Linked DNA regions of Schizosaccharomyces pombe. The protein of the gene in region 3 purifies or fractionates together with the protein of the main gene of each other region. This does not show direct contact. Each region holds a gene or a part of one and is shown on either strand. Other genes may lie near its edges.

Evidence for each region.
Region 1: the proteins of grc3 (region 3) and rix1 purify together in Schizosaccharomyces pombe (affinity purification with mass spectrometry, with the first as the bait; one study listed by BioGRID). This does not show direct contact.
Region 2: the proteins of grc3 (region 3) and crb3 purify together in Schizosaccharomyces pombe (affinity purification with western blotting; one study listed by BioGRID). This does not show direct contact.

The regions. Positions count from the first base shown.
Region 1 is NC_003421.2:436,312-440,068, reverse strand, and holds the start of rix1 (ribosome biogenesis protein Rix1), read left to right. Parts: upstream 1-1,549; 5' UTR 1,550-1,645; coding exon 1,646-3,757. Other genes in the region: rib2 (bifunctional CMP deaminase family methyltransferase/riboflavin-specific deaminase), read left to right, coding at 1-15; hdd1 (metal-dependent HD domain-containing phosphohydrolase), read left to right, coding at 409-1,005.
Region 2 is NC_003424.3:2,310,129-2,313,885, reverse strand, and holds crb3 (rixosome complex WD repeat subunit Crb3), read left to right. Parts: upstream 1-1,957; 5' UTR 1,958-1,994; coding exon 1,995-2,192; exon of another isoform or gene 2,193-2,314; coding exon 2,315-3,325; exon of another isoform or gene 3,326-3,368; coding exon 3,369-3,500; 3' UTR 3,501-3,615; downstream 3,616-3,757. Other genes in the region: teb1 (Myb family telomere binding protein), read right to left, coding at 1-140; SPOM_SPAC13G7.09C (uncharacterized protein), read left to right, coding at 861-1,268; arb2 (argonaute binding protein 2), read right to left, coding at 3,671-3,756. UniProt on the Schizosaccharomyces pombe protein: Required for both pre-rRNA processing and heterochromatic gene silencing. Component of the RIX1 complex required for processing of ITS2 sequences from 35S pre-rRNA.
Region 3 is NC_003421.2:2,181,543-2,185,299, forward strand, and holds the start of grc3 (polynucleotide kinase Grc3), read left to right. Parts: upstream 1-2,057; 5' UTR 2,058-2,264; coding exon 2,265-2,298; exon of another isoform or gene 2,299-2,375; coding exon 2,376-3,757. UniProt on the Schizosaccharomyces pombe protein: Polynucleotide 5'-kinase required for both rRNA processing and heterochromatic gene silencing.

The DNA.
Region 1 (3,757 bases), 1.7 Mb from region 3:
CCCCCAAAGCACTAATTTTATTAATTTTTTTTATTCTTTAAACATTTAGACGACGTCGCTGGTATATGACTATCAACCCTAAATTATCGTTTTTCTGAGAGACTATTTAGGCCATGCATAGTTCATCATTTTTTTTGATCATTAAATTAAAATAACACGAAATTCCCCACATAATGATTTCTTTTTTCTATGATTTCTAAATCGAAAATAATTTCCTTCTTTGCTTTCTTCACTTACCCTGAGCAAATACCACCTGCGTTGGCCTAAGTGGCTGATTTGTATAAATCTGCTGTTAAAAACTTTTTGGATTTCTTTTTATTTTTGTGTTTTTATAATATTTAATTTGGATTTATCCGTTTTATACTCTGTTTTGTTTTTTTCAGAAAAAAATTTAACTCCCCTTTCAAAATGAATGCAGCCAAATCTTTATCTATTGTTCCATTCTTAGATTGTTTGTCAAGGCTTAAGACTACTCCACGTACTGGCTGGCTATATCATGGCATCGAAAAGCCGGAATCCATTGCCGACCATATGTATAGAATGGGGATTTTGACTATGTTATGTAATGACCCAAGCATCAACAAGGAACGTTGTCTAAAGATTGCCGTAGTGCATGATATGGCTGAGTCAATTGTTGGTGATATAACACCTCACGAGAATGTTTCGAAAGAGGAAAAGCATCGTATGGAGTCGGAAGCGATGGTTTCTATCACCCAGCAACTGATCCCCTTAAACCTTTCCTTACAAGCTGAGGAGATTAAAGAGCTATTTTTAGAGTATGAGTCTGCTTCCACTCCCGAAGCTAAGTTTGTCAAGGACATTGATAAATTTGAAATGATTGCTCAAATGTTTGAGTACGAAAGGAAATTTAATGGTGAGAAAGATTTGTCACAGTTCACTTGGGCCGGTAAATTAATTCAACATCCTCTTGTTAAAGGTTGGCTCAATGATGTGTTACAGGAGCGTGAGCAATTTTGGGCTTCGGTCCGTCAAAAGAAGCTTTAACTGATAAGAAAAGCGATACTTTCCCTGTATTTAAGTGTGCAGTTGAGAGAAACAGTTAAGAAGAAATATTTCTTAGGAATTCGCTCTAGTATCTTCAAGGCCCATTATTCAATATACCAATAGTCTCTCTTTTTTTTTATACATAGATACATTTAATAGAAGTTCAACATTAGAGCTTAGTTTAATGGTGCTATCTTCTGATATGTTTTTACTCTTCAAATGCTTTACTTTTCTAGGTTCTATCATTTACGTTCTCCCAACTTAGCTAAATATAACTTAAATACATCTACGATTAAGTCTTGTTTCTTTATAATTATTCGTTCAATAAAAAATGAATTCTTTACAGCACATTTCAAGAAGTTCATAAAATCACTTTGCTATCTGAATTTTTTTGTAGACTTAAGCTTTGAGGTAATTTACATTCCTTGGTCATTATAAAATACTAATATTGAGTTAAACATTCTCAAGTTTAAAAGGATTTTACTTCTCAAAAATTTTTAACCTTTTCTCCCTAGCAAGACTTTCCTTAACGCACGAGTAGTTCAGAACCTACACCACAAGCTCGAGATTTAGCAAGTAATTTCTTTAAGAAAACGGAAATATTGTTTTTTTGTTACTCCGTTGAATAAAGAAATCTTAGATGAGTGATTTATTAGAACGTGGCTCTCTTCCTCTTGTGAAATCTTGGTTGGCAATAACTTTTGCGAATGAAGAAGACTTACCATTTCAGGTGCCTCAAATAGCGGACATACTGGTACATCAAAAATGTATCGAAAGATTAGGAACGAGTGAAAATGCTCTTTCCGTTCGCAAGAATTGGTGCACGAGTTTAACAAAAATGTTACAATCAAAAGACTTTCGTATTCGCTGGTCAGCTATTATTCTCATTCACTGCACTATTTCTCAAAGTTGGGATTGCTTAGTAGAGCATGGAGCTACTTGGGCAAAACTTTTAATTGCTTTGTTAAACCGACCAGAAACTCCTAAAACATTGGAGATTGCCATGATAACCGTATCAAAAATGTTTAGCTCTACTGTAGGAAGACCAGCAGTTACAAGAGAATTGGTGACTCCTAATTTACCCACATTTGTGAATAATTGCTTACGAATCGCCGAATCTGGGAAGTGTCTTTGTACTGTTTGTTCTTGTTTGTATCAAGGGATCATCTCGCATTCACCTACCTTTCGTCCATTTGTTTCCTCAATAAGGAATATTTGCATTAAAATTTTAGATGGGGAAGAAGTAGTCCCTTCTTCATTACAGAAGAAAGCAGCTGTTCTTTATGCTTCGTTGTATCGATGTGTGGGGAAAGGAAATTTTGAAGACTATTGGAAGCAAAGTATTATTTCAATCCTAAAGGAATATCATCTTACTTTGGATTTTTTGTTTCAATTTGTTATAGAACCGCAAACATACCCAACTCGTGAAGAGAATTTGATGTTTCCAAAACTCAAAGGCCACTACGAAGAAACTTATCAGAAAGCTTTACACAGATGCAGAACTCTAAACTTGATTTTAATTTCTTTTTTAAGTACAAAGACGGATAAAATCGTTTTGCTTCCCATAAATGCTTTGAAGGATTTAATTCAACGTGTTTATACTGTACAACTTTCATTGCCTGTTAAAAGCGTAGAAAGTTCAGTTCAAGCTTTGCTATTCATGGTCCTTCCTCATTTGCATACGCTAGTTAATGAGTTAACCTTAAAGCTTTTTGTGGTAATTCCTCCAGCTATCATTCTTTCATTTGATTCTTACCTGGATTCATTAAATGATTGTTTACTTTCTGAGTCAACACATACTGGGGTTTTATGCTCTTCTTTAAAGTTACTTTCAAAGTTTTTGGATGTGACACATATGAATGTCCCTCTTTCAAAATACGAAAATATTGTAACGCTGGTATTAGAATATCTTGCTAATTCCTCTAAAGGTTTAGCATCCAAATCCATAGAGTTCTCTAAAAATCGTGGGCATTCTCAAAAAAAGCGAAAAACACTTTCTGAAAGTCAAGCAGGAGATACACTTATGAGTTCGGAAGAGTCTCATCAGCTTTATGATTCAGATGTCATGGATTGTTGTTTTTCTTTTTTAGCATCCATTTTGACTCATTCAATAGCATTACCACGTTTATTACGGACCAAAATAGATCTTTGCACCTTGCAGATATCTTTGTCTAACCCTACCTCAACAGTTTTGATATCTATGCATAATTTACTCCTTGCGTCAATTTTATCACCGGGAGATTCACAAGCAGTGATAGTACCTCATGCAATACGTATAATTTCTGGTCCATTAGGGCTTGTACATCCAGATCCTCTGGTCGCTTCACACGCAAGGTCATCGATGCAAACAATAGAATCGCTGATTCATCCTAGGTTCCCACCTTTGCAAAAACATCTTTCACCAAGCGAATTTGAAAATACGTTTGAGTCAAGATTTGAGCCTGTTTCTCTTGAAAACCAATCGCATATTTCTCCACCCCAGGTGGATTCTCAATCAGAGTATAAAGAAAGTAGTATTTTGGCTCCATCAAATCCTCCCTTTGAAACAGAGTCGATTACAGATTCCACTGAAATTGAAGGGATCAAAGAGTCTTTTGCATCTACAGATACAGGCTTACAGAATAATTCTACAGCTACCTCCGAGAACAAAAGAAGCGAATCAGAGCTGACTATGTCTAATGTTCTTTCTAATGAGGGTGACAGAAATGAAGAAGGTAGTGAAATCAACTCTTCTCAACCTTCAACTATTAAT
Region 2 (3,757 bases), on a different chromosome or scaffold from region 3:
TTTCTCTCGAATCCTGGAACATCTTGAGCTACCTCCCTTTTAGAGGGATTTTCAGCTGCCAAAATGGACCCATTCAACAAGTCGACAGAATGCTCATCCATAAGATCTGATGAAAACCCTGGAGGTTTCATAGACCTCATGGTCAACTTGATTACAAAAGAGAAGTTACGATATAATTTTTTATGGGGTTTTTGGTTATGTACAAGAAACCTTCAACAATTCCCTAGTGGTGACTCTAATGTACAATTAGATGTTTCAACGCCTATATATATATGCAAATGCCAAGTCAGGAAATCAATAACAAGAAGTTCGTGGCCCCCACATTGGCCACCATAATGTTGAGGTGAGTAAACAAACCAACAATAGGTTAGCTAAAAGACAGTTGATACATCTTTATTTTTTATAAACATAAAAATCTTAAAAAAATACAGGTTATACTGAATAGACATACTCTGAATTGAACTAGCTTAACATTTAATTTTCAAATTCCAGAATGGTAAGATGTTTAAATAACTGACCAGCTTGTACATATAAGCAAAGTAGTAACTAAATGTAGTTAGTATATCAGTTTGGCCTAACGCTAATTCTTAATGCCGTAAGTTTGAAAAATATTAGCTATCTGTTTGTAACTAAGATTCATTTGATGCTTACTGAATAATTCGAATAAATCATGTGTACTTAGCATATGCCTTATTTCAACATTTTACCGTGATGTGGGATCGTGCTGATTTCTCATAGTTTATACACTAGGCAGGAACACCACCACTTCTTAATTCCTGCATCCACACTTTATCCACTTAATTATTGCCAAATTACCTAAATGAAATGATAATAAATGATTTACATTAATAATACTCATCATGGAATCATCACTTGACAGACTCAACTTTGATGAGTTTGTTGCTAAACTGTTAATTCACGAATCTAAAAAAAAGAACAAGTCGTTTGTCGACCATGGCTATATTGAAAAGGAAAAAACAAAACTTCGCCCTAATAAAGTTTTTTTGAATAATATGGTGAGAAATGTTCAATCCCATAATCGTGGAATAAATAATCGGAGACGTGACCAAAAGCGTAAGCAACTCATAAGCATTAAACAAGATAACGATTTAAATGTCTCCTCAGAAAGGTTGTCTAGGAGAATCGATGTTCCTCGGCCCACTAGTAAGAAAAAAAGACTTTATAAAGAAACGCCGGATTTAGATGAACCGGGGTCTCGTGAAAAGCGTGTTAGCCAGAAAGGGCAATTAAAAATTGAGAAAGTTTAATCTTAAATTTTTAATAATGTCTCCCAGAAAATAATAACTATATTTCTTCATTTCTGATTAATCTCTTTGTGTGGTTTCATTTGGGGATTTTATATATCACCACTTGAGCTTATCATTATACATTATACATTTTTATCCAAAAACGAATATCATTTAAAAATATCACGTTCAAATCCTTCAATTCCTATGCCTTTTGATTGAACCGTTTAGTTATTTTTAACAAACTTTAAACGGATGATCCTCATATTGACACCGAAATTTGGCTTAATCTATATTTATACATGCATTAAAATATTGTTACAAATGTTTAAGAATTAAATCAATTCTTCTGTTAGCAATAAAGTAACCTTTTCTTGGTTAATTGAAAAGCATTGCATGAAATCGTGTAGCGAAAATGTAAACATTAAACATATTTACACCACTAAAGTCAGAAATTTTCCAACAGTATAGTCGAAATCAATATACGTTTGATTGGGTACAAATAAAACTAATATAGTTTCCAAACAGCCCATTATATCAATTTGGAAACGTAAATAGCTGACTTAGATAATTTGTCTACAATTATGCTTGCTCTAGAAAATAGAGTAAACAGTCATTTTAACGAAATGCGGTTGAATTCGGTTAATTTAGCAATGTAGTCCAACACGACTTTTCTTGCAAATTTCGCTTTGTTGCTAACATTTCAGTTCAGCGATTTGCGTTTATTCAACACGCATTTCAAGGTTTATGGAGCTGCTTCTTTCTGGCTGTGAAGCTATTGAGGGTGAACCAAGTAATGTTCTATGCCACAATCTACATACCGGTACCCTGGTGAGCACATTCCGTCAAAGCTCACCTGCTAAAAACGCGACATGTACTACTTTGAATCATTTGCTATCTGCTCAACATACCCGTCCACAGCTGAATATTCACAATTTTGGAAAGGTAGGTTCTCTCTGCACTGCATTAGTTGTACGCTTACTTCGTTTATAACAGCAGTTTTACAGCTAATTTCAAGCTAAAGTAGCTAAACACATTTTAAATGAGTAAAACTAATACAAGTGTAGGAAATTTTGGATCAATCAATCATTTTACCTGAAATACTTATTTGTGTGCAATCGAGTCCTTGTGGTTCTTGGCTGGCAGCAGGCACAGAAAAAGGAAATTTGTACATATGGTCATTAAAATCCGGTGCTCTTATTTATTTCTTCAGAGCACACTACCAACCTTTGACCATTTTGAAATTTTCCAATGATGGTATGGTTTTATTCACTGCTTCCAACGATGGTGATGTATTCGCTTGGTTGATAAGCACTTTGGTAGACCAAAACTCTACTTTTGAAACAAGTAATAGTTCAGTTAAAGCGATTTCTCATTTCTCTGGTCATAAGCGTTCTATCGTGTCTATGGAAATTGGCCCTGGTCCCATCGTTAGTGGTCGACTTTACACGGCTTCGGAAGACAACACAATAAGGATTTGGGATGTTTCTACAGGAAACCTTTTGACAACGATTGCTCTTCCCTCAACTCCCAGTTGCATGACCGTGGATCCTTCCGAACGTGTTGTCTACGTTGGTAACGAAAAGGGAATAATATGGATTCCATTATACACAGGATCATCCACTTTTTCTAACAACGTTAAAGAGAAAAAAAGAGTTACGTCTGTTGATAATACTACTATTCCAAACGCCATCGGAGGTATGGGTCGAGTTGTAGATTATAACGACAGTAGAGAATCAAGTATTATATCGTGTCAATCCCCAATAACCACGTTGACTGTTTCCTTTGATGCTTCTCTACTCATTAGTGGTGATAAGGATGGTAATGTTTTGGTTTGGGATAGTGTTTCTCGACAAGTTTTGCGCCGCCTCGTTCAGTATTATTCGCCGGTCTCTTTTCTTCAATGCAAGGTCGACAAGATATCATTTTATTCAAACTCTTCACTTTCTTTTCCAGTTTTAAAGCGCATGATTACAAATGAGTACTTAAATTCAGATGTTCGAATTTGCATTCAAGATGATGGGGTAGAGCAGCTGATGCAACCGGAAAATATTCTCAAAATCAGCTCTGATATTGTCGTATGTCCACTTCTTAAAGATTTTGAACTAACATAATTTTTAGACACAAGGCTCAGAGTCCAGTTGGCGTGCCAAAGCTGAAACCAGTGAAATGCAGCTCAAGGAAGCAAAAAGATTATTTTATGAATTAAAGCAAATTCATCAAGCGTTATGGGAAAAATACCTGCAAAAGTAACTTTTTTTGTTAGGTTAAAAATTTGAATAAAATTATAAGGGATTGGAATAATTACACTTTTGTAGCAACGGGGTTCTAATTGTTGTAGCCCTTTTGTTATAATCTCATTGGAAAATTTTATTAAATATGTTGAATTAATTTTTTATCGTTAACTATTTTGTTCTCTGTCTTCAGCTTTTACTTGTATTAGTGTCGAGAGCAATCATCTCAAGCAAAACATCGCCAATGTAGTCATAGAATTCATCGATATATTTTCC
Region 3 (3,757 bases):
ATAGAGAAAACCATTCTTCCGGGACGGCAGATAATTCTTCTACCTCTCCGTTGAAAAAAGAATTTTTATCATTCATTTCAATCTTTGTGCTAAACGTACCCGCAATTTGTTATCTAACGTATAAGGACGCTCTCTTTAAAGATTATGGCAAAGATGAATGGGTATATTTTGGAGTGTGGTGTGCTATTTGCCTGATGATTTTTATTTCTTTATGGTGTAAGTGACACGATAGGTCAATTCTTACGTTCATTCACTAACTCATTAGGCTTCTTTGAAACTTGGACCAGGCAGTGGCACAATGTGTCAAGGTAACTGCGGTCGGCTTGTACAACTCAAGGGAAAAATGGGTTGTAATAATCTGGTTATTATGGGTAGTCATTTGTTTTGTACTCTTTGGTTGCGTCAAATTCGGTAATGTGAACTTAGACAAGACTCTCATCTGTTCTACATGCAGTATTTCAGCTGCTTTACTTTTATTTTTATTATATGGTATGTGAAGTTATGTAGTTACCATTACTGACCGCTAACACGCAGTTCGTCTTCCATTCTGGACACTTAAGCATATGTTTTCTGGGTTTTTTCAAGTTCTAGGTGTACAAAGTTGTGTCGTTATTGTAACGAAAGGTTTGATGCATTTATTTGACAAACATATCGACGGGACAGGCTACGAAATTGTAGCCTCTTCACTCTTTGTTATAGGCAATTTTCTTTTCTTTTACGAAATGGGTTTGTTTAATATTCCTGTAATTTATTCTAATCGTATCAGAATGTCCAGGTGCTCTCAAAAGGATGCCCAAATTTATCAGGAATGGTATAGCTTTTATATTAGGTATGTGTATTCAACCAACTGTATGAATGATTCTTTACTTACCCGATTAGAAGGTGCAGGGAGAGCGATTAGAGGTGCCAACGATAATAATGACATTCCCTTGGGGGAAATGGAAGTTGAAAGCGAAGTCTAATTGCGTTATTAATGTAGTTGTCGCTCCAGTTGGAAAACCTCTTTACCAAAATTACCAACGCAGAGAAGCTGCGGCTTTTTTAAAAATAAGCACCAATTTTCTTTAATCATCCTCTTTCACTATAAGGTTATGGAATATATGCTTAACTTATTCTTTCAATTACCAAAAATTGCCAACCAATGTATTCTACGATGTTGGATAAAGTGCATTGAGGACCGAGTCTTTATTTATTATGTATGCGAGTCTAATTATTTGTCTTTTTTAATGGAACTCAAGTCACAAACAATAATGATTTAAATTGTTTACGACAACTTAAAATCAACTAATGAAATCGAAAAACTCGTTGTTCCGCCTTGTTAAATTCACAATTTCATTGTCGTTATTACGTTCATTTCTCCTTCATCTTGATTCTTAATGAATCAAGCTTAATTATCATTTTTTCTTTTTGTTTAATGGTTCAATTCAAACAAAATTAATGTTTACAAAATAATGAATAGCATAATAAAATATTGTGATTCAGAACGATGGTTTGTTATAGTAATAACCTAAAGACACATTGCAATAGTGAATATCTAATAACGCAGTAAACGTATATACTGGTTTTATGTTGAGTTTCCTAATGATGCATAAGCTGAGTGGGCGATATGACTTTGATTGACACATATTTTGTGGAAATTTTCAATATATAAATCAAAGAGACTAATGATTTATATTCTAATACTTTTATCCACATCGAAAGCAACAGTTCATAACCTAACTGTTGGGTCAACTGATAGAATAAAAAAAACTCGGGTGTTCGTCCCAATTATAATTATCACTACAGTTATAGTCTAAATATCTATTAACTTCAATAACTGATTTTTAACGAGTATTATATTCTTTCCTTTTTTTCAAGGTATAACGATTAATTCTTCATTGTTTCAATATTAATAAGAAGCTACTAGTTAAAGCAAGCTGGTATTATCGTTATGTTACTACCAAAAAAGGAATACCGTGCTGTTACATTTTGTTATAAAAATATACCGTTAATCACTATTTCCCAAATTACAGATATCGTACTTTACTTGGTATTTCCTCTATTTACTCTTTCTCGCTGTGCAATAAGAAGAAAAAATTTTATTATCTGTTTACAAAACATAGCTAAATTTTCTAAATTAACTTTTGTTATTGATTGTTAGTTTATGGTGGATTGTTGTTAATTGAATTAAGATCCAAAGCGCTTGCTTGTTCACATTCGTGTGAATTGCACTTTTAAAAAAAAAAAGGAAAACTTAGTTATTTATTTAATAAGCTTCTACCATAATGGTCAAGCGTCAACGTATTGAGAGCTCAAATGGTAAGTGTCTTAGTTAGTCTTAAGTATTGGCTCTCTTATATCTTTTCTAGGATAATATTCTAACAGTTCTATGACAGTTCCACTCAGTGCATTCGCTGTGCGTCAATTGACTTTAAGTAAAGCAGCCAGAAAGAAAGACAATTCATCGGGGAAAAAGCGCAGCGTTTCGGAAGAAGAAAGCCAAGACAAATATGAAGACGAAATGAAAACTGAAGGCGAATTTCCTTCTTACAAGCACACGCTCGTACAAGTGGTTGTCCCAGGAGTTGATCATAGAACAAAGCTCCATTCAGAGTCATCCAAGAATGATTCTGAAATAACTCCTGATATAAATAGGTCCAAGGTTAATCCTCAGGAATACTCTGAATTCTCAGTTGCTAGTCCTCAAACGATTTCTCCGAGTTTACCTTTAAACTTGGACGACGAAACCGTAAGTGAAAACGTTCCACATAGCCCACAATCGTCTAACGATGCCATTCCGGTGATTAAAATTACGGAAGAAAATTCATTCAGGGTTAAAGATACGCTATACGTTGGATTACATAAAGATCAAAAATTAGCAATGGTTGGTACCTTCATTTTTCGTAGCGTTAGAGGGAAGTTTCAGCTCTTTGGTGCAACCTATTCTTCAGCTTGTATGTCTTGGTTTCCTTTAAATGCTCCGTTAGCATTTGCGACACCAGTATTTTCTGCTATAGACAATGCATTACCTGCTATGCAGATTTCCGAATATGAAGAAGATTCCCTTAACCTTCGTTCCTTTGCAGTTCCCTCTTACTCACCAAAAGAGCATGAATATGAATTAGAGCCCAAAGATATTCTCCCAAATTTTGAAACTGTAATAGCTTTTAGAGAAAATGAAAATGGTCTCTCTAAGATAGCTCGTGTCCTTCCATTTGCAAAGCGTTTGTTTTCTTTTAAGAATCTTTTGCAAGATGCCTCATCAATATCAAATAATTTTGAGATAACTCCGGAGTCTTGGTGTTCTTTTTCTAACCAGTTACTGTTTTCCACTTCCAAGTCAGACTATGTTGTTCCTCGTCTTATGGTTTGTGGACCTAAAGGATCCGGTAAAAGCAGTTTTTCACGATACATCACCAATAGGCTTTTACAGCAGTATCGTCACATTGCATATCTTGACCTCGACCCTGGTCAACCCGAAGTCGTACCTTCTGGGCACATTTCATTATATTATATTAACTCACCATTGCAAGGACCTGTTTTCGCCCGAATGCTCTTTCCTACTTACATGTTACGTTTGCATCTCGGAGATATAAGTCCCCAGAAAGATCCGGATCATTACATTGCTTGTGTTACTCGTCTTTTTGCTGAATATAAAGATTATATTTTTAATCAAGAGATATCCCAAAAGGAGATTATTCCTTTGATAATAAATTGTCCAGGTTGGATCAGAGGGGGTGGTGCTGAGCTTCTTTCTTCTATTGTTGATATATGTCAA